Linked DNA regions of Nothobranchius furzeri. Each later gene encodes a partner of the first gene's protein in a complex. Links are inferred from orthologs where the notes say so. Each region holds a gene or a part of one and is shown in the gene's direction. Other genes may lie near its edges. The genes, in order: mettl3, zc3h13, rbm15b, wtap and E3 ubiquitin-protein ligase Hakai.

The links.
Region 2: mettl3 (region 1) and zc3h13 share a complex: the UniProt entries of both Homo sapiens proteins name them as parts of the WMM complex. The link is inferred for Nothobranchius furzeri from reciprocal best matches to the Homo sapiens genes METTL3 and ZC3H13.
Region 3: mettl3 (region 1) and rbm15b share a complex: the UniProt entries of both Homo sapiens proteins name them as parts of the WMM complex. The link is inferred for Nothobranchius furzeri from reciprocal best matches to the Homo sapiens genes METTL3 and RBM15B.
Region 4: mettl3 (region 1) and wtap share a complex: the UniProt entries of both Homo sapiens proteins name them as parts of the WMM complex. The link is inferred for Nothobranchius furzeri from reciprocal best matches to the Homo sapiens genes METTL3 and WTAP.
Region 5: mettl3 (region 1) and E3 ubiquitin-protein ligase Hakai share a complex: the UniProt entries of both Homo sapiens proteins name them as parts of the WMM complex. The link is inferred for Nothobranchius furzeri from reciprocal best matches to the Homo sapiens genes METTL3 and CBLL1.

What each region holds. Positions count from the first base shown.
Region 1 is NC_091742.1:58,858,654-58,863,050, reverse strand, and holds the start of mettl3 (N(6)-adenosine-methyltransferase subunit METTL3), read left to right. Parts: upstream 1-1,233; coding exon 1,234-1,339; intron 1,340-1,900; coding exon 1,901-2,091; intron 2,092-2,170; coding exon 2,171-2,596; intron 2,597-2,677; coding exon 2,678-2,853; intron 2,854-4,397. Other genes in the region: ttc5 (tetratricopeptide repeat protein 5), read right to left, coding at 637-699, 1,131-1,235. UniProt on the Homo sapiens protein: The METTL3-METTL14 heterodimer forms a N6-methyltransferase complex that methylates adenosine residues at the N(6) position of some RNAs and regulates various processes such as the circadian clock, differentiation of embryonic and hematopoietic stem cells, cortical neurogenesis, response to DNA damage, differentiation of T-cells and primary miRNA processing.
Region 2 is NC_091754.1:49,209,888-49,214,454, reverse strand, and holds the start of zc3h13 (zinc finger CCCH domain-containing protein 13), read left to right. Parts: upstream 1-1,686; 5' UTR 1,687-1,826; intron 1,827-2,450; 5' UTR 2,451-2,459; coding exon 2,460-2,618; intron 2,619-2,705; coding exon 2,706-2,809; intron 2,810-2,895; coding exon 2,896-3,010; intron 3,011-3,094; coding exon 3,095-3,206; intron 3,207-3,318; coding exon 3,319-3,482; intron 3,483-3,563; coding exon 3,564-3,712; intron 3,713-3,787; coding exon 3,788-3,988; intron 3,989-4,368; coding exon 4,369-4,536; intron 4,537-4,567. UniProt on the Homo sapiens protein: Associated component of the WMM complex, a complex that mediates N6-methyladenosine (m6A) methylation of RNAs, a modification that plays a role in the efficiency of mRNA splicing and RNA processing.
Region 3 is NC_091743.1:78,034,797-78,039,491, reverse strand, and holds the start of rbm15b (putative RNA-binding protein 15B), read left to right. Parts: upstream 1-1,509; 5' UTR 1,510-1,745; coding exon 1,746-4,226; 3' UTR 4,227-4,695. UniProt on the Homo sapiens protein: RNA-binding protein that acts as a key regulator of N6-methyladenosine (m6A) methylation of RNAs, thereby regulating different processes, such as alternative splicing of mRNAs and X chromosome inactivation mediated by Xist RNA.
Region 4 is NC_091742.1:5,869,455-5,872,328, forward strand, and holds part of wtap (pre-mRNA-splicing regulator WTAP), read left to right. Parts: intron 1-935; coding exon 936-1,114; intron 1,115-2,874. UniProt on the Homo sapiens protein: Associated component of the WMM complex, a complex that mediates N6-methyladenosine (m6A) methylation of RNAs, a modification that plays a role in the efficiency of mRNA splicing and RNA processing.
Region 5 is NC_091741.1:57,567,180-57,571,778, reverse strand, and holds the start of E3 ubiquitin-protein ligase Hakai, read left to right. Parts: upstream 1-1,652; 5' UTR 1,653-1,771; coding exon 1,772-1,790; intron 1,791-1,829; exon of another isoform or gene 1,830-2,000; intron 2,001-2,532; coding exon 2,533-2,721; intron 2,722-3,862; coding exon 3,863-3,969; intron 3,970-4,211; coding exon 4,212-4,295; intron 4,296-4,372; coding exon 4,373-4,446; intron 4,447-4,599. UniProt on the Homo sapiens protein: E3 ubiquitin-protein ligase that mediates ubiquitination of several tyrosine-phosphorylated Src substrates, including CDH1, CTTN and DOK1. Targets CDH1 for endocytosis and degradation.

The sequences.
Region 1 (4,397 bases):
ATATCACTTTTGTTACAATAAAACGTTAAAAATAATATCATTTTATGCAAAGCTGTGATACTTTGTTTTAAATTGTCTTATATTTTGCCGTAGTAGCAATTTACGTTGGAATTTTAATAAATGATCCTTTTTGTTAGTTAAAACTTGTGTTTGTTACCTCAGTTTAATAGCAGCGATGCAAGAAATGAACTGATAACATCCCTGAGCAGATCAGAGCAAAACGTGGATGAAAACTACAAAAAGCAACGTGCAGAAGTATTGAATCGTCTCAGTTTTGAACTATTTATCTTAAAATTTGCCAGAGTATCATGTAATCTGTAAATATTTCCTGGTCAGTAGTTCTCCTGGCTCTTTTTTGAGCGTTTACTTTCCATTTTAAGTGTTTTTGACTGTCCGATAATTGACTAAACCGGATAGGAAAAAACTGCCAATTTGAGTAAAACAATTAGCTCGATGCTTAAACTGACTACATAAACAAAAATGCGTGAGATTTAGATGATAAAAAAGTACACCAGTCACATCAAACAGCATATTAAATGCACTACCAGTCTGTCAAGATGAACTACTTCCTGAAGAAAAACAAAACATAAAACTGAGACATGTAATTAACCAGGCTATGCTGTTACTGAAGCTTGCCTCTATCAGTTGCAGGTCGTTTTTGTCTTTTCCAGGATCTCCACTGTCCTCTTTCTCCGCCATCTTCGCTTCAACAGGAGCACACAAAAATAAAGATTAGCAACAACCGGAACGCAACAAAGTCTTCACGGAAGACGCCAAATAACCGCTAAAGGTTGAATCTTGATGCGATGAGAAACTGACATACTCAATACAGTCGCGAATGCGATCTGGTTTTGGCACAAAGAATGGGAAAATTTTTAATTTCGGTCACGCCGGAAACTGCGGTGGTCCGTCCTTTAAATTCATCCGACATATTATTTCAGTTAATGCTGTATCAAATTAATGAAATGCTTTCGTTACGTTTGTTAACTCCAGCTTAGTATAGAGTTATCAATTTATTATCCTAATAATTTTAGTAAACTGTAAAGACAACCGATAAAGCACCACTTATATTTTTTCCGGAACGTTTAATTTCACTCAAGACGCTCGTCCGGAATGTTCTCGCCGCGTACCATATATAGTTTGTTCCTGAGAGCGCGGATATTTTTCATCTCGTCGTTCTGCGGTGAACTGTGACTGTTTCTGTGAGTGCGCTGCTGTTTTACCCAGCTCGCCATGTCGGACACATGGAGCAATATCCAGGCCCACAAGAAGCAGCTGGACTCTCTGCGGGAGAGGCTGCAGCGGCGACGCAAGGACCCGGCGCAGCTGTCCGCAGCGGGTGTGTACAGGCCGGACACTCGGCAAAGACCGTCGGTGCTATGTCAAAATGTGTTACATCCCGTTGGAATTGGGTTTTATACGTGTTGACAGTGTTTTCGTTATAAACTGAAAATTTGTCTAGAAGAACAAAAATTAGCATGAAATTAATATGTGCGTTAGCTTTTTCCCTGCTGAGCAGTGGGGGAGTAAACGGAAATTGTTTTGTGTTTCCGTGCTGAAAAGAACAAACAATTATTAAATTAACAATAATTCTTTTCTCTTGCAGTTTTCTTAAAATGTATTGGTTTAAGCAACAGTTGTAGTTGGAAATGCATTGAAACAGAATGAGTGGTAATCGTTTTTGACGACACGACACTTCCACTGCTTGTGTTGGTACCAATAAATGATTTAACGTATTATATCAATGGCGTTTACCATATATGAAGTGCAGATTTGATGCGTATGTTTGCTTCAAAGAAGTAATACATTTAAAATACCAATCGGGTGAGCAACAAGAGTTGTGACGTACTGAGCTCTGAAGCTATTTTATCCGAACTAATGTTCTAACCGATCTTCTCAGACGTTGCAGGCAGTGCTGACACTTCCACAGCCAGGAGTGACAGTCCAGCTCCCTCGGCTCCGTTCAGCTCCCAGGAGGAGACGGAAAAACCACCAGACCCAGAACTAGAGAAGAGGCTGCTGGGATATCTGTCCGATCTGAGTCTTTCCCTCCCGACAGACTCCCTCACCATCACAAATCAACTCGGCAGTGTAAGTTTGTCCCCCGTCAACAATAGGACTGTTAAAGCAGTTGTTTTGCATTTTACATCATGTTGATTTCTTATCCCAGTCTGAAGGTGCCGTTAGTCATGGATGCATCCAGAGTCTGCTGCTTAAATTCTCTGCTCAGGAGCTCATTGAGGTCCGACAGCCGTCCTCTTCATCAGCTTCCTCCTGCACAGTCGTCATAGCCGTGGACCACACAAAACTCTGGGCTATGATCGGGTCTGTAGGAGGAGCTCAAAGGACTGGAGTCAAGAGAAAAGCGGAGGAGCAGAAAAGCTTTTCACCTTCACTTCAAAGCTCTGCTTCTCCTCCACATTTGCCCACTTCCTCCCTGACTCCAGCCTCTTCGTCCCTGGTGGCGGGGGCTTCGTTTTCGGGGTGTGGAGCCGAGAAGAAGGGCAGGAGCAGCAAGAGCCAGTCGTCTCATTTGGACATGGAGATTGAAAGCCTCCTGAACCAGCAGTCCACCAAGGAGCAGCAGAGCAAGAAGGTTTACGGATTAACACGTCTAAGCGTGCAGAACTCTGGCGGAGGGAGCGTTGTGTGAATGTTGTTTATATTTCATTTCCAGATGAGTCAGGAGATTCTGGAGCTGCTCAACACCAGCACAGCCAAGGAGCAGTCCATCGTGGAAAAGTTCCGCTCTCGTGGTCGAGCTCAAGTCCAGGAGTTCTGTGATCACGGGACTAAAGAAGAGTGTTTGCGCTCTGGAGACACGCCTCAGCCGTGCACTAAGCTGCACTTCCGGTACACATCCCATCCCATTTTTGAACATCCCACCATTAAATCAACACTTCACACAAAATAGCTCCAATAAAAGGATGTAACCAGTAGAGTACTATAATCACATTTGAACTAGGGCTGGGCAATAAATAAAAAATGTATCTTTATCCAAATTTCTTATTGTAATAATTTTTTCCACGTCAATAAATTTGATAATAAAAAATGAAAAGATGTGTGTAGGTTGGCAGCGTTTGTGTCCCTTTAAGAAGCTGAACCACCTCCAGTCGCATAAAAATGTGACTCAACGTAACACGTGACAGCCCCCTCTAGTGGACAACTGTTGTTTCTGAGCACACCCGTAGTTATCGTCCATTTATCGTTATCGAGATGAAATCCTCAATATATCGTGATGTTGATTTTAGGCCATATCGCCGAGCCCTATTATGAACTGTTAGATGACATTCTGAGAGAATCAGCTCCTCTAAATCTGAGACCAGGGTCTTGAGTCGGAAAAGGGTAGAATGCCTTCTCCATATGAGGTCCTGCCCCAAGTGGAGGAGTTTAAGTATCTCGGGGTCTTGTTCACGAGTGAGGGAAAGATGGAGCGTGAGATCGATAGGCGGATTGGTGCTGCATCTGCAGTGATGCGGGCGTTGTACCGGTCTGTCGTGGTGAAGAGAGAGCTGAGTCAGAAGGCGAAGCTCTCGATTTACCGGTCGATCTACATTCCTACCCTCACCTATGGTCACGAGCTTTGGGTAGTGACAGAAAGAGAGATCGCGGATACAAGCGGCCGAAATGAGTTTTCTCCAAAGAGTGGCTGGCCTCTTCCTTAGAGATAGGGTGAGAAGCTCAGTCATCCGGGAGGGGCTCGGAGTAGACCCGCTGAAAAAGAAGCAAAAATAGGATTCAGAGAAACAAGCTGATTCCTGGAATATTTCAATGCAGCTTTTTCTCTCTTTTTTCCCACATATTTTAGTGTTTGTTTAATTTTGTTCTTGCTACAGGATTGTATTTCTGTCAAAAACAGCAAAAATGCTTGGAGTGCTTCTTAGGTGAAAGATTATAAATACCTCCGGTGCTCTTCAGTTAGAAGATCCTGGCATCGCCTCAGGAAAATGCGGACTGAGGCACTCGGGTGGATGAACATAGTTACGAAGCTTTTATTGTTCCATGGTCAAGCGAATAAAATCGTGTCAGCTAGGGTGTTTCTCAATGTCAAGGCGCCTTACTTACGAGGTCCTTTGGTCAAAGAAAACGGTTAAATGGAACAGACTTGCATCACGTGACCGCGGCTTCCACGGCGGTCACGTAACGTCACGTGACACGGGAGATAAAGTTATATTTTATATGTATTAGTTTCAATATAAATATATAATGAGCTAAATTGTGTATATGTTTATTAAATTAAATATATAAGCGAGTTACTACCCGCTAGCCACCAAAGCTGCAACTACTAAGCAACTAACCAACCATAGATAACTTCTTTGGATCTAAATAAACATTTTAAATAGTTGACTTACTTTTAAACTTGAAAATTGTCCCCGAAGTAGCTGCCGGCTTCTGAT
Region 2 (4,567 bases), on another chromosome or scaffold:
TAAACTTTTTCACTACATTAGACACATTGTGTGCCATGATACAAAAATATAAATATAATTAAACAAAATAAATTACAATGTAAAATTCCATCATGTAGGCTAGTGTAACGTCCACAATTGGTCAGTTTTTCATGTAACCTCACAACGTGTAAACCTCTTCAGTATCTGGTCATATGGAGACAGGAGTCTACATTTGTTGCCTTTAATCTTCCGGATCCTGACATTCCATCAGCTGGAGTCCGGGCCTCTCTGCAGCTCTGAACACATGATAACAGATTATCAACATCATGTTCCCTTCTCAAGGTCCTGCTTATCTCGGCTGTCCTGCTCAAAATAAAGGACTGAACCATTATAACAGAAATAATCATATGGTTGAATGAACAAATGTTATATGAATACCAAATGAAATGTTTTGATTAATCTGTGCTTGAATTATTGAAGTTTGAAATGAATGTTATTATTACATTGAAAGATTTATATATATGATGATCAGTAATGTCTGATATGACAATTGAATCATTATCTACACTTAGACACAAGGTTCATTAGAGATAAATTAAATTAAAGTTAAACGTCATGACACAGATATTTTCTTAACCACAAGTTAGAGCATCCTGTATCTGAAAGAGGCGTGACGTTCTGAGGTTTGCTTGTGAACATCCCTTAACATGACACGTACCGGTTGGCCAAGAAATCATAATATGAGAATATTAAAACAGAGCTCACTAGACGGTGAGTCAGTTCTAGAGAAAGCTACGGACAGGCCTACCGGAGCAAACCTTCTTTAACCCAGAGCATTTTTGACAAGCTGTCAAAAACCCTGCTACATGCTGAAGTTGACACAGAACAAAGCTATACAGTTCCGACTCCCTAAGAGTCCTTCTAGACGCAAACAATTTCATCTACCTGTTGTGATCCGGGAGACGACTCTGGACTGACTTGGTCGTAATGCGGTCTTTTCTACGAACTTCGGTACCTTGGGGTCACCCGACCCCCAACCCCCCAACATCTCGGATCCGAAAGGGAGTCTTCTCAGGGGTATGTAGAACACAACATGATTGCATCTGATGCCGTTTTGATAAGAACCAATTTCATAGCTTAATGCAAACCAAATTCCTTTGCACACCCAGAACTCAGTTCTTCTCAATACAAGGTTCTGATAAACACACGCCATTAAATCACCAGACATCACTCATCCATCACTGTAGCCTTGTCATGTTTTTATTTGTTTAGAAAATAAATTTCTTATCTTTTATAAACCTGACTCTGTCTGAATTGAGATGAAGTTTGTTGATCCCTGGAAAAAGCAAAGAATCTTAGAATCTTCTGAATAAACACTCAAAGACCAAGCAGGTTGATATTCTATGTTTATATAGAATATCACAATTTATTGGTCATAAGTAAAGGTAATGTATTAAGCTTAAAAGCAACAGTATTTACCCCTCTACACTAGAAAAGTCAACAGTAATCACACGAGATCTGGTTTCAATAGTAAACCGGTTGTTGCAAAGGTAGGCTGCACAAAACGAGCACATTTGCCCACTCTGCATTGGCTTTGGACAGTGAGGAGACCCATCCAATATGGCGACGACGCTGTTACGCTCTCCAGCACCGAATGGGGCGTCAACGTCTTTACTGCTGGCGGTGATCGTACCACAGAAGAAGAACGCGACGTAATGCGTCTGAGGCGCACTGTATGTACGCCAACATGAAGTCACTCCGGGCAGTTTCTGCCTTAGATTTCAAAGAATAGGACTTGTTGTTTCGACAAAGTCTTGCTTTGCTAACTAATACAAAGTAGATGAAACACCGAAACCAAATATTGGGTGAGGAGCTGTATTCCGTTTGATCTTACATTAGCTTAAACCGCGCTCGTGGTGGCTTAAAGGCCTGAAGCTACTGTTAGCATTAGCTTCGATATACGTGGATTTTCCTGTTTGAGGTGTGCAAATGAATGGCCCGGCCACGCATTTAAAGCTCTAACACAACACTGTGCAGAAATATTATCGCGTAGTTTGCTGGGAGCAGTGGCTAATCTGAAGCTAATGTGCAGCCGTAGAAGTCTAAACTCAGATAATTCTAGCACAATTTTTAGAAACGTTTGCACAATGTAGGGGAATAAAAAAAACTTTGATATTTTTCTTTATTTTTATGGAAAGAAAAACATTGAAACAGTTTATTTTTGCTGACAAATGTTAATTTTCTGAAATTTTCAACATTATCAAAATTTCTTCCACTGACACATTAAATCCCTTTTCACTTTGTGTTGCTATTTTATTATATTTCATGTTTTTGTTGTTGCACAGTATTGTTCATCTCACGGTGCGTAATTAAAACGCTGTGATTCACAGTTCAAATAAAAAATATTATTTTTTTGTAAAACTGTTGATTTTTTATGTAGTTTTAGATTCTTTGGACCCTTCTGATTAACAGTATTACCATGTTTCCAGTCCTGCAGAATGTCCAAGATCAGGCGGAAAGTAACAGTTGAGAATTCAAAAACGATATCTGACAGCAGCAGCACCACAACCAGCAGCACCAGCAACACCAGCGCCCCGTCTCGCCGGCCCAGTGTCTTTGAACGCCTTGGTCCTAGCACTGGGAGTAATGCTGCAGATGTATGTGTCGCAGAACCGTTCCAGGACTGGAGGTTTTCTTTTTGAGTGGATTTGTCTTCATGTCTTTTATCTTAATTTGTGTTTTAGAGTCACTGTAGAAATTGGCTGAAGACCGGTAGCTGCAGTTACGGCAACACTTGTCGTTACACACATGGAACTCAGCCTCGAGGCAAAGGATTCAGCTTTAATCGGTGAGGAGACCTGGACTTGCTGCTGTGCATGTTGTTCCAATTTAGTTTTTTGATTCCTCAAAACAATGAAACCAATCGCAACGCAGGTCAGCTGAGAGACCCACTGGTGATCTGCGGGAGAGGATGAAAAATAAACGACAGGATGTTGACCCGGAAAACTTGAAGCGAGACGTAGACAAGCCCACAACCTCCAAAGTCAGAGTGAGTTATTTTTGTTTTCTATAGTGTTTTAATCCTTATTGTCTGAAAGGAGAAGAGTAAAAACAAGGCTGAGTCCTTTTGTAGCAGAGAGACTCTTCAAGAGGGCGACACAGAGAGAAGGAAGGCATAAAGATCACGAAGGAGAGGACCCCAGCCAGTGAAGAAGAGCCTGTCGAGTGGGAAACTAATCGAGAAGGTTGGATAGTTTAATCGACAAATAATACGATTCATGCTAGTTGTCATTATTTTGTTAAAAAGATCAGCGCGCCATGATAATAAGTACTACAAACCTTACTTTGTTGACTCAGATTCTGATATTGGGGAATTTGATTACGAGTTATCCCTGGAGATGAAGCGCCAGAAGATCCAACGGGAACTCATGAAACTGGAGCAGGAAAATTTGGACAAACGAGATGATGTCGTTAAGAAAGAGGAGGCTCCTATAAAATCCAGGAGTGCAGCGCTGCCAAAGGTGAGGATTAATATTCACGAGATCTGAAATCCCCAGATTCCCTCAGCGTTGAGCTTTTGTCCTGCCGTCCCTGTTGGTCAGGTGTCGCCTGAGCTGTTGGGTTCCAAAGATTCGCCGTCGTCCAGGAAGTCCGGCGGCTCCCCGAAATACAAAAGTATAAGTAAAGGCTCCGGTTCTGGGAAGAAAGAGAAGAAGGCAGCCATGGCCTTGGCGGTGTCAGAAACCCTCCGGTAAGAAGGCGTAAAAAAAGCGTCTTGAGTCGCGGGACGGAGCCCAGAAAAAAAATCACTCCCTTTTTCTTTTAGGTCTTCAAAAGGAAGCCACAGTAAGAAGAAGGGGCCTCGTACGCCGAGTCCTCCTCCCCCGGTCCCTCTCGGCATTCCTGTCGTTGGGAAAAAACACAAAGGGAAACATAAAAACAAGGAGAAGACCGAGGAGAAGCAGAAGGAAGGGAAAGAGCGGGGACGGGACACGGAGAAGCATAAAGAAAAGAAGGAAAAACGCCGGTATGACGGGAACGTCGTCTCCTGCAGCTGTTTTTATCCCACCGTTTCACAAACTCACTTGTTGCTGTTCTCCTTTGTTGTTTATGTAGGCAGATAATCAGGTGAGTGGCTACGAAAGGTTCTGTTTCAACCCGCAGATGCTGGACTAACTTTGCTGCATGGCATTTATCTCACTCGGCTTTTTATTCGCGTCAGAACCCAAAGGTTTGCTTCGGACGGGTTTAAATCCACGTTTTAACGAAATCAGCCGCTGAGCTTTTCTAGAGCAGCTCAGAGGATGCTTCCTGATCGTACCTGGTTTATTTTTTAATGCTTGTGCCTCTGATTAGTAGTATCCACCTCTCATTCAGCCGTTAATCTGAAGCGGTTTGGTGTTAAAGTGATCGATCCGACAGTTCCCATAAGGCCAAGCGGGCGGTGACATCGGAGGAGCGCTCTGGAAGTGCGTCGTCTCCCTCCAGGTGTGCGTCACCTCCAGCGAGGAAGAAGTCCGTCTCTCCCAAAGTTTCATCTCACAAGGCCTCGTTGCTCCCCTCCCCCCCTCAAAGGTCTGAACTTCCTGGTTTTCCGACACGGATA
Region 3 (4,695 bases), on another chromosome or scaffold:
CTACTTACAGATGTTTTCAGACTTATGTCATGTACTCTGAACCCATCTGAGTCCTGTAGCAGCTTCGCCAACAGGCGATAAAATACAGAGTCGTGTTTCTGAGGGACTCCTCATCCGTCTGATGGATCAAACACCATCATGAATGTGGGACTTGTGTTTCTGTTAAAACTGTAAATTCTACTTTTGCATTAAAATGTGAAAACTCAACTGAGATGTTTGTTTGGGTTGGTTTGACTCCGGGCCGATACCGATCTAGGATGAAACCCTGATCCTCATGGGGATTGGCTAATGTGGATTAACTGTTAGTGGTTTTATTTGTTAGGACACTGCATTCACCGACAGATTAGAAAGTTTAGGATTGGTTTGGAACAGTAGATGGATTTCGGGTACACCTCTGTGAGAACCGAGCTTTGCCCAGAACCCTGGTGCTTGTATGGATCGTCCCGAGAGGCTGGAGGTCCGGCTCAGACCTGATCCCTGGTCCTTCCTGTCATTCTGCCCAGAAGAGGAGAAATCTAGAATTCCATCCAATCTTAATCCAAGATTAACTTTGGATTTCCTCAGAACATCTTTTTAGACCAAATCTAGATGTTAGTAACAGATTTATTCTTCATCTAACCAGGAAGGTCCCATTGAGATGAAAAACCTCATTTCCAAGGCAGTCCTGGCCCAGAGGCAGCAGAAGTTGTTTCAGCTCCACAGACATGTTATGCACTAGATTACAGAAGGCAGTTACAACACAGAATCCTCTCAAGGGTTCTCAGTCTGGTTTTAAATGTAGTCAAGGAGAAAAAAAACTAATTCCCAGTTTTCCTGCAGCCTGTTCCATGCAGAAGGAGCAGAGTGAACAAAAGACCTTTAGCCCAGATTGGTGCGAGCAAACAGAACACAAAGTAACAGCTGATCGTCTTCTTCCAGACTGAGGACTTACACTTCTTGAGATTAAGTTACAGATGTAGGTGGGTAGTAATCCAAGCATTGCTTTATAAATGAAGGTGTACCAATGTTCCAACCTCCTGGTGGATAAAGAAGACTGTCCCACTGGACACTGGAGTGGTCCTCAGTAATAAACCTCAGAGGCATGATGACCACATCAATCTCACAAATCCATTGTTAATCTGAATTAATCCATCTACGTCTAATTCATTTTGTGGCAAAAATATTTTCCTTCTCTGAGAAATTCCTTTAAACCAAAAGAACGCCGCCTAACGTCCTGTGGGTGATACCACCACTCTGTCTCATCCCTTGAGTTAGGAACATTTTTCTACTGTTAAGAGGTCAGAGTTAAAAAAAACGTCTCTGGAAATGTTTTGGTCCCAGGAATATTCCATCTAAACCAATTTAACAAGAGATTTGCGCTGGATTGGGACTTCTGGATTCTAGATCAGGACTAAATGATGTGGGCATATTCTCCATCATTTCAATAATAAACTTATTTATGTAAACAAATAAAGATTTAAACGTGAAGCGACGGTAACGCGCGACGTGCTTGCGTCATCGAGTTCTCCGTCCTCGGGGAACGCGCACATTCCTATTGTCCAAGATGGCGGCGCTGCTGAAGCTCCACTGATGCAGTTTTTGTTTTTAAACCTTTTCTGGTTTTTATCCGTAAATGAGCCGAACGTCAGCGGATGCCGTGGAACCGCGTTTCCCCCTGAGCCCGTCCTCCGTAGCCTCGCTCCCGCTAACGCTCCCGGAATCCCGCTGCGGACACCGAAAAGTTTCCGATCCGTCCTCCAGAGAAAATGAAGCGGCAGGCCGGCAGGGAGAGCAGTCCGTCCAGGGCCATCGCTAAACGGACACGGGAGCGGGAGAGCAGCCGCAGAGAGGAGCTGCCCCCGCCGCCGCTGGCGCTTTTACTGGCGGAGAGCAGGAGCTACCGCCGCCGGAGCCGGGAACGCGAGAAGCCGCGGCTCAGGGAGGAGAGGGCGGCCGCCCTGGAGCTCCACCACCGACATGAGCTCAGCCTCCTCGGCCGTCCACCGCTCCGCACCTCGGCAGCAGAGCTCCCCGCCCCCCGGCCGGGCACGCTGGAGTATAAAACGCTGCTCATCAGTAACCTGGGCTCGCAGGTGTCGGACGAGGACGTGGAGGACTCGCTGTTTCACGAATTTAAAAAGTTCGGGGATGTGAGCGTGAAGCTGTCGCACACACCGGAGCTTGGCCGGATCGCCTACGTTAACTTCAGACACCCGGAGGATGCCAAGGAGGCCAGGCACGCCAAATCCTCCAGGTTGGTTCTGGGAGAGCGCCAGCTGAAGATAGAGCCCATGTACGTACGGAGGCGGAGTGTCACCCCACCGGACGTGGGTTATTTACCCCTCCACGCCCCCTATCCGTACAGGCAGCGCTCCCTGTCCCCCCCTGTCCCCGGGGTCAGCAACCTCCGGGAACTGAGAGCCAGACACTACGCCCTGGAGACCCTGGGTCTGAGCAGAGACCGGGACCGGCTGCTGGACTACTATGGGATGCTGGATGAGAGGGGGCGGCCCTACGGCCTGCCCCCCATGCCAGTGGTGGAGGACTTGAAGCCGGAGGATGACCAGCGGGCGACCAGTAACCTGTTCATCGGTAACCTGGATGGGAACGTGACGGAAGCTGAGCTCCGGAGGGGGTTTGATAAATATGGCATCATTGAGGAAGTGGTGATCAAACGCCCGGCACGTGGACAGGGCGGGGCTTATGCGTTTGTGAAGTTTCAGAACCTGGACATGGCCCACCGTGCCAAAGTGGCCATGCAGGGCCGGCTGATGGGTGGGAACCCCATAAAGATCGGTTACGGCAAAGCCAACCCCACCACCCGCCTCTGGGTGGGGGGGCTGGGGCCCGGGAACCCACTGGCTGCCCTGGCTCGAGAGTTTGATCGCTTTGGCAGCATACGGAACATTGACTACGTGAAGGGGGACAGCTTTGCCTACATCCAGTACGAGAGTCTGGATGCAGCTCAGGCCGCCTGCACCCAGATGAGGGGCTTCCCTCTGGGGGGCCCAGAGCACCGGCTCAGGGTGGACTTTGCTAAGGTGGAGGAGAGCCCGTCGCGCCCATTTCCTCCTGGTTACCAGACGCCCGTTACACTCCCTTCCCACTATGACCTTCTTGGAGAGGCATACAGCCGCCATCGCAGCCTTGAACAGGAGCTACGGGGGGCCAGGGAGCGTTCTCCCCCTGCTCACAGCCTGCTCTCCCTGAGGGAGAGGGCCCTGCTGGAGAGAGACTTTCCCAGCAGCCCCACCCGCAGCTTGGAGAGGAGGTCCGGAGGGGTGGAGGCGTTTGGGAGGAGTGGGAGAGCAGCAAGGAGTCGTAGCAAGAGCAGGGAACGTTGGCTGAAGGAGAGGGAGGAGAGGAGGAACAGGAGGAGGAGCAGTAGTCTGTCAGCAGAAAGGCAGACGGAGGAGAAGGAGGTGGGGAGGTCAAGGGTTCGTGGTGTTGGTGGAGCCGTCTCTCCTGAAGCGAGTCCGGACCGAGCTCGGGTCCGAGCTCCCGACTCCACCACAGAACCCCGAGACCATTCCCCTGACAACGGAGGAGCTGGAAGGCAGTCCACCAACGAAGAAGAGCCTCCCTCCAGCCACCATCACAGCAAGAGGGCCTCCAGCGAACAGCTGAACAACCACCACCATCGGAACAGTGAGGCCAATGCCTCGGCTTCTCCTGCAGCCCACACAGACGCCTCCTCACCCCCCGGCACGCTGTTGGAGTTTGCCCAGAGCATGCTCTCCAGGATGTGGAGAGGCTTGTTCACCCTGAAGAACAGCAGCTTTCCTACAGACCTGTTCCTGCTGGAGGGGGGCGTGTCCTTCTTCAACACTGTGATGAAGGACAGCCTGAAGCAGCCGAGCAAGAATCAGCTGAGCCAGTTAAAGATCGCTCAGCGGCTGCGCATGGACCAGGCCCGGCTCGACGAGGTTTCGCGCCGCATCAAGGTGGGCCGCCCCAATGGCTTTGCCATCCTGCTGGCTCTGCAGGGCCCTGTGGACCGCCAGACCCCGGGTCTGGAGCCAGGATTGCAGGTGCGCCTGCTGCGCCACCTGGTGACGTACCTGCGGAACAAAGAGGCGGCCGGTGTGGTGAGCCTGCCCAGTGCCAAGGAGGGTGGGCCGGGCGCCATGCTCTATGCCTTCCCCCCAGGAGAGTTCTCTCAGCAGTTTCTGCAGACAGCCAAGAGGACTGTGGGTAATCTGGAGGAGGAGCACATGGTGATCGTGATCGTTAACGACACTAACTGATGTACAGAACCAACACTTCCTGGTTTGAAACCTTTTAGGATTCTGGATTCCAGCCACACTACACACGTCACTCCGCTTCTCCCTGTGAGCCGGTGGGGTTGGCGGGAGAAGGAGGAGGATTTTAAAAACACTCACAGGAGCGACAGCAGGTCCTCCTGCTTTTATACTTAAGCTGTAAAAAAAAAAAAAAGACACTAAACCCAGCAGGACAGTTTCTCTGCTTCTGACTTTATTTGTTTTTAATCACATGGTAACGTGACACGCAGGTGTTTGTACTGTACCCCCCACCCAGGTGTTGCATGCAGACACTTCCCTGGAGGGATGGTTTGGTCCGCCCTTCTAAACCTTCCTGACTTCATCCCTTCGTTGTTTTTGTTCCTCTTCGGCTCAGCGCCGCGGAGCCAGACCAACCCAGAACGTAGTCCGACCCACAAACGTGCAGAAAATTACAGCGAAACAGGAGCAAAAA
Region 4 (2,874 bases), about 53 Mb from region 1:
CGGATGAAAAGCCCCCACCATCCCGTTTAGTCTGCATCCTGCAGCGCTACGGATCGAAACCGCTGCAGATACGAGTCACATTACTGCTGTCGCTGGAATTACGGCAAGCCGTTGTAGTATATAATTCACAAATGCATCTATCTTTGAACATAACATAAACTGGATTATTTCCAACCCGTACATAATAGACATGCCACCATTACATTGTTAGCAGCAGAAATTAAATGTAATTACCATTTCCAATACAAATGCATGTTAGTGAAATGCATTATATGTTACTGGATATGTTTATGTGTCATTTAGACTAAGATCAGTGTTATTAATACAAACCTGAAATGTAGGTCAAGCATTTACAAATATTTTAACTATAAATATCAGCTGGGAAAAAGGGAACTAAACACCAATCTGATATATTTTATTGAGCCTTTTATAATATTTTACCTTGAAAAAAGTGAGGCAGTGTGTGCTGGCGCATGGTCAGGATGGTACCACCTCTGCCTCAATTTGAGTCAGGAAAAACCCTGCGTACCACCTTGAGTCAAGGTTATACACGTGGCAGCCCCATCTAGTGGATAACTTTTGTTACCTATCGTTATCGAGGTGAAATCTTCAATACATCGTGATATTGATTTTAGGCCGTATCGCCCAGCCCTAATGTCATGTAAATGTGCTATGGTTGCTTTGGGGTAAAAGCTTTAAGCATTAGCAGGTAAGTTTTGTTTTAGAGTACTTTAAACACCCACAATTATTTTTTCGTTTATTTATTTATAGATCAGCGGATAACAGTTTGTTTTGTATCATTTTAAAGGCTGATTAAATATTATCAAGGCTCTTCTATAATAAACCCATAACCTCAGAATAAAGCAGTTTATTGTTGAAGCATCGTTTTAAAGATTTAAACAGATGTCTAATGTGTATTCCGTTCCATCCTGCAGACCCAGATCCAGTACCTGAAGCAAGTCCAGCAGCCGAGCGTGGCCCAACTGCGGTCGTCCATGGTGGATCCAGCCATCAACTTGTTTTTCCTCAAAATGAAGGCTGAACTGGAACAGACTAAAGACAAACTGGAGCAGGCCCAAAATGAACTGAGTGCCTGGAAATTTACACCTGATAGGTAAAGACAATCAAAAATAACTCCCCCCTCAGAAAAAGTCAAGACTTCCTCACGCCTCCCCCATCCTCACTCTCACTGCAGGCATGCAGGAACAATGGTGGGGGGGGGAGGCTGACAAAACGCTGTTCTCGTCACGAGACTCAGACTTTACAGACAGCCGGTCACTGCAAAAACAAAACAGCTTTTGTTCTTTTGTTACCGAGCCAGCTGCACACCACTTAACCTAAAAAACACAATAAAAAAGACCGTATGGTCAGGTGACACTCGTGTGTTTCAGCCTCATATCCTCACCGTCCAAGGGCCTGAAGGAGTCCGGACTGTTCTGAAGAGGTGGTCTCTCACTTCCTGCCACGGATATGCCCTCTCTGCCCCCCCGCTCAGCTCAAAGCAGACAGTTCATTTATAAAATAAGGGGATTATGGGGGAGGATGTGTCAGGCAGGGGGCATCCCTAGCCTAAAACAACAATTGAACATTTCAAAGACATGTAACAGTGGATCATTTCACACAAACACCTGCTAGTCTCCCTGAGAAGTGTAAAGACCCTTTGGCTACATTTCATTCACATGAGGAAAATTAAGACTAAAGCTAACTTGTGGGGAAGGAGACACTAAACATTTAAGACTGAGCGGAGCCAGATCTTCGGATCACAAAGGTGGTTGAGGCATGGGGTCCAGTCGGACCGACTCACGGTAGAGTCCATCTACGTGTTTTGTTTTGTGAACTGTTTCATTTCATTTGATAGAAACACTTACTGCAGTGTGTGGAGCCTGATTGACTTGTATTATTTACCCGCATGTTCTGTGTACACGGTTTGGATTGGGCTTTGCTAAACCCCCTCAAACACACTGCCGTACGTGTGTCGAGTCCTGTTATCAAACTGAGTGAAAATGTCCTGAAGAAGCTGTGTTTGAGACGACGAGGGTGTATTTTTTTGTATTTGTGTATTTTTGTGATTGACCAAATCATTTCTCCCACAGAAAGCGACTTCTCTGCTATACCCACTAGTTAATTATTTTAACAGTTTGGGGCTCACGTTTTTATTTTTTTATTTTACGTTGGCTTTAAAATAACTCCCAGCATATTTAATAGCAGGAGAATGCAGCAAATGCTCTTAAATCATAAACATTTCTAGTTTTAGCCTTTTTAAACATGCCTCACCATGCCTTGTACAGGATGCAGTTACTGCTGGGTTTAATGTCTTTAGTTCCCTCGGGGCCGATGATACTTAAATGAGTATATATACATTTATTCTTCAGATGTGGCCATCAGGAATTGTTTTGAAGTCATTTATGTAATTTCTTTGCCTTTTTGGCTTCTTTATGACTGATTCCAAAAGCATAGCTGCAGTCCTAACTGATGTCAAATCGCAGGTGTAGCAAAGTGCTTCCCAGCTTCTTTACCTGTTGTAAATGGAACAAACCGCATCTGGAGCTGTGTGATTGTGCTGTTGAAACATTTGTGTTTAATATGAGGACACCTTTTTCTGTTTGCTGCTCTGAAAGTTTGACTTTTAGTGTTTCACTGGGAAAAGATCGAGCTCTGTGATGCTTTTCTATTATTTACAGCTAGCTGTGTTTCGAGGAGGAATTTAAAAGGGTGCTAATCTTTCTTGTATTTTTATTATGTTCATTGTACTTCCATGTGTTTTATGGTAAGTTGGAGTGAAACGGTGCAGGTTTTAGTTTTATACAAATGTCTGTCAGCCATGATTTACTTTATACCAAAAGGACCACCTTGTTTTAGTTGGTAATTTCAGAT
Region 5 (4,599 bases), on another chromosome or scaffold:
ATGTTATGTCTGTAAAGCATCGAAAGATGACAGACGTTCGTGTTGGCCTCAGCTGACTACAGCTAACCTAAACATCTTAATGAAACATGTTCTTACTTTCTTATGGTGGCAAAACAGAAAAAGGAAAATTCAAGCCACCATCAACGTGTTTTAGATGCGCGTCAAAACATTTAGTGAAGTCAATGTAGCTACTACGTTAGGTAACACTGGCGTCGAGTAATCTTTAGACCTAAACAATTGTGCAAACAAACCCATTTGGCTAACATTCACTTCTTGGGAGAACTCGACCACAGATGTTCAACTGTAAACTCAGTAATAATTTAGCAAATGTAAACTAGTTCCTCCCTTCTTCTTATTAGCATTAGAGCTAATTAGCTGACGACAGTTGACTAGTGTAGAGCCAAAAGCAAACTTGAACAGGTCACTAACTTAGGTATAACTTCGTCGTTGGAACAGTAGAGTTAAAATGTGCAAGTTGCTTAAAAAGACTGATTATTTTAAGACAAAAACTAACCTTTGATGGAAAGTCCGCCGCTGTTGCTTCCTTTTCTGTTGGATATTTGTGGGTTTTATAGTCAAGAGCCAGCTATTAGGTCGATGTAGCTAACGTAGCTTGCCGTGGTAGCTTAGCTAACATCCGTTAGCCTGTGAGTGATTTGTTTTGAAGAAGCACGGGCTAACGTAAGCTAGCTCAACTTCGCTAACGTTAGTCAGATGTGGCTGCAAAACTGTTAAATACGCAAGGTCCATACGTTAATTTCCTCTAAAAATAAAAAGCGATACGTGTCCTTTCTGATAGACAGGGCATGGTTTGTACTCACGCATTAAGTAATTCAAACGCGGGGCTAAGTTTAACATGCAAAGCAAGAAAAACTCAGTCATAAATTTCGAATCAAAATGGCGACATTGTACGATGAGAGCGCGCGGCACACGGGGACGAGCATCAGCTTCACTGCTTCGCAAAACATCAGAGCTCACTCACATGGGGTTCAAGCATCTTAATTGTAAATTATGTAATTTCTGACTCGTTTAATTGTCTCTTACTTTTAAAAATGGTACATTAACAGCGCTTGTGGGAATTGTGCAAATGTATGCGACAAAACGACGCTCAAATTAAAACAAGATCTAAATTATGAGACAAACTCATTATGCAGTAACGCAACAAACACATGAAGTCAAAATTATCGAGACGTTATGCGATATATGTCAGAAATAAGAGATTTTAAAAACACCAGTTTAACTTGAAATTAAAGGTGATATGAATGAAGATGCATATAATCTGATTAAATTAAAAATGCCAATACCAAAATATTAGACTACTAGCTTAAATGCTGTTCTGAAAAGTTTAAAATGCATTTACTTCATTTAGAAGTGCAACAATTTTGACACTTTTACAGAGTGTTAGTTTTTTTTTATTTATGCATGCGAAGTTAACTGCTCAGTTTATACTACAAAGATCAGAAAAGTGGTTTTATTTTAATGAACGAATTACTTAATATTGTATGTTTATAAATATCATCTTTACAGAATTCAAGGGACCCCCCCCCCCCCCCCGGCCACCCACAATGCATTGCGCTCACTCGTTGGATCCGGTTGGATCATGGACCAAAGTGGTGAGCTAAACGCTAAGTAGGCCCTCTGTTGTCAAAGTTTGTTTTTGTGGCTTATTTTTTCGTTTTGCCGCCAGAGTTGCTGCTCTAGTAGTTCTTTAAATTATTACGAACAACCTTCCAGGAATCCGGCTTTGCTGTTGGAGCTTGGTGCCTCTGAAATGCTCCGTTACGGTTTAGGTTAGCTGTGGATTTGTGCTAAAGGACGTCAGTTCACCATTTAACCCTTAAGTTCTAAGTCAGTTGGAATAGTTAGTTGTAACGTTAACTGGAGGTGTGTTCGGTTCCTGTGCCGAATGTGATTAGTTTGATTTTAGGTGTAAATCCAGCGATAGCGTTGTACAGCCTACCTTACCCTGTTTTAGCGCTTAGCTAATTCTTTGGCTAACGGTTTGTAACTTCGTTTTTGTTGCTCGTCCTCAGATTATTTATTGATGTCCGAGACCTTCTTTGTGTTTAGTATTCTCACAAGTAAAGATCAGGGTAAACTGAATTTCGGTTGGATAAAAATAGCCTGGTGTTCTTTCGGAATATTTCTTAAATATGTCAACGTTTCAATCTGTCGCCTTTTATGTGCCTTCGTTTTGAGAATTTTCTCCTTTCTTTACCATAAAAAACACTTTCTTGATAAACTTACGTCACAGATAATAAGCATTATTCTTCAAACCGTTAGATTTATACTTTGATTACATGAGGGAAAGTGTTCCGACACATCAGCAGGCAGAAATGCCAAACATTAACACGCCAAAAAGTAGTTTGAACAAGAACAGAAACGTTTGCTTATTTAACTCATCAGTCGGGTACATTTCAAATAAAGATTTACATAACTTTTGGAACGCAGATGTAATATAATTGTGCTTAATGGTGTGATGCTATCAGTTTTTTGTTTTTATTTTTTGGGTTGTGCATTCGGTGTGTACAGACGGTGATCTTCAAGGGAGCGATGGTTCGGGAAGTTTGGGTGGACTGGATGTTCGCAGACGAATCCCCATCAAGCTCATTTCCAAGCAGCCCTTGAGGAATAAGCCCCAGCAGCGGATGCAGAGGCCTGGCACCAGGCCCTGCAAAAGTGAACCTGGGGAAGATGGTACGCTACCGAGCACATTAAAAAGCAAGTCACCCCCAAATCAACCTTTTTGTGTGATAAACTATATAAATTGTGCTGCAGACATGTGTAGTCAATAGTTTGGCACTTTAGTGCATTTTAGTTAAAATTTTAATTTTCTGACTAAAACTGTCAGTGTTGTGCCGTTGTCAGGTAAAAACTCTGCACTGCATTTGAATTTAAATCTGCCATCGCTATTGGCTAAGAGGTATCCTACAACGTTAGCTGGTACCATATGATGTCACAATGTCGTTGTGAGCGTGTGTGTGTGTGTGTGTGTGTGTGTGTGTGTGTGTGTGTGTGTGTGTGTGTGTGTGTGTGTATTTGTTAGCAGCTCCGCCCTCTCAGTCTGCTAGGCAACAACATTTGTTGCATTTTTCAAATCAGAAGTGGGAGTGGAGTAATACTCTGGTAGGGGGTGACTTGCTCTTTAAACTTTTAAAAAGTAAACTGATCGGGGTTATAGTCACAACATTTTCTGTAGAATTTTAATTTGGAGGTTGAATCTTTTTATGGTTCATGTTGATTCTGTGCTGCAGGAACTGCACAATTCTGGCTGGACTGTGCTCCCAGCAGAATCCACTAATCAGTCATTTGCTCCAATGCAGAGCCTTAAAAATAACTATTTAGACAGATGCTTTTAAAATAAACTGATTTATACACCTCAGTTAGTAATCATAAACATTGTTTTGTTGAACCTGACCAAAACCCTTCTTCTGAGGGTGAGACAGATTTTGCTGTATATTAACTTATAGAATTAACCATTATTCATTAGAATATACTTTATTGTCTCAATTGGGAAATTTGTCATTAGGTCAAAAAAGTTGCACTTCGGTTAGTATAACTGAAAAAAGGAAAAACTACACAGAACCATACTAATCTCCACATTACATACTACTCTTAACAGATGACCTTTGATTATGCATTGTACATAATACACATAGCACATTCCTTAAACATCGAGTACTGCACACTTACACAATCCCACAATACTGCAATTTGAAAATTTCAATCTGAAACATTTTGCCCCAGCTCTATCAGTTGACTAATTGAGTTCTAAACAACAAAATCTGCTTTTATTAATCAGGGTTTTATTGACTTTCTCTTTTCAGTTTTACAATAATACTTATTTTCTCATATTTTGTAGATAAATTCAACTTTAAGCAAGAGGAAAGGTTTGATTGTGGCACCAAAGCTGGCGATGTGTTTGCAAGCCAGCGGAGATTTCCACAACCCCTATTTTGGGACTATAAGGTACGTCAGTGTGGGTTTGCTGACATCATCTTATTATAGTGACTTTCTGTTTTATATATATATATATATATATATATATATATATATATATATATATATATATATATATATAATAAAGCTGTCCATTGACCTTGGGTTAGTGTACACTGTTGTTTTGCTTTGACTATAAAAGCTTTGTGACTGGATTTGAGTATGTCTGAGTGACAGATACCCATAATTCCACCCATTTGCTTTCCCTACAGTTACATTTAATTGGTGAACGGGATGAAGTACCAATTCATTTCTGTGACAAATGTGGCCTCCCTATTCAGCTGTATGGACGGATGGTATGTACTTTGTTCTTGCTTGCTCCCTTTGGTTGGTTTTGAATCATTTTCTGGACTGAGACTCTCCCTCTCCTCAGATCCCATGCAAACATGTTTTCTGTTACGACTGCGCTTTGCTGCATGAGAAGAAAGGAGAAAAGATGTGTCCAGGGTGAGACATGTTTGTTTTTCATTAGAATGACTTCTCAGATGTTAAGAAATCCTGCTAGAAAGATAAACCCTGGAGAATACTGTCTTGTTTTTGTTTTTTTGTGGCAAAAAGTTTAATGATATGTTAAAATATTAAATCTAAAATAGAAATTTC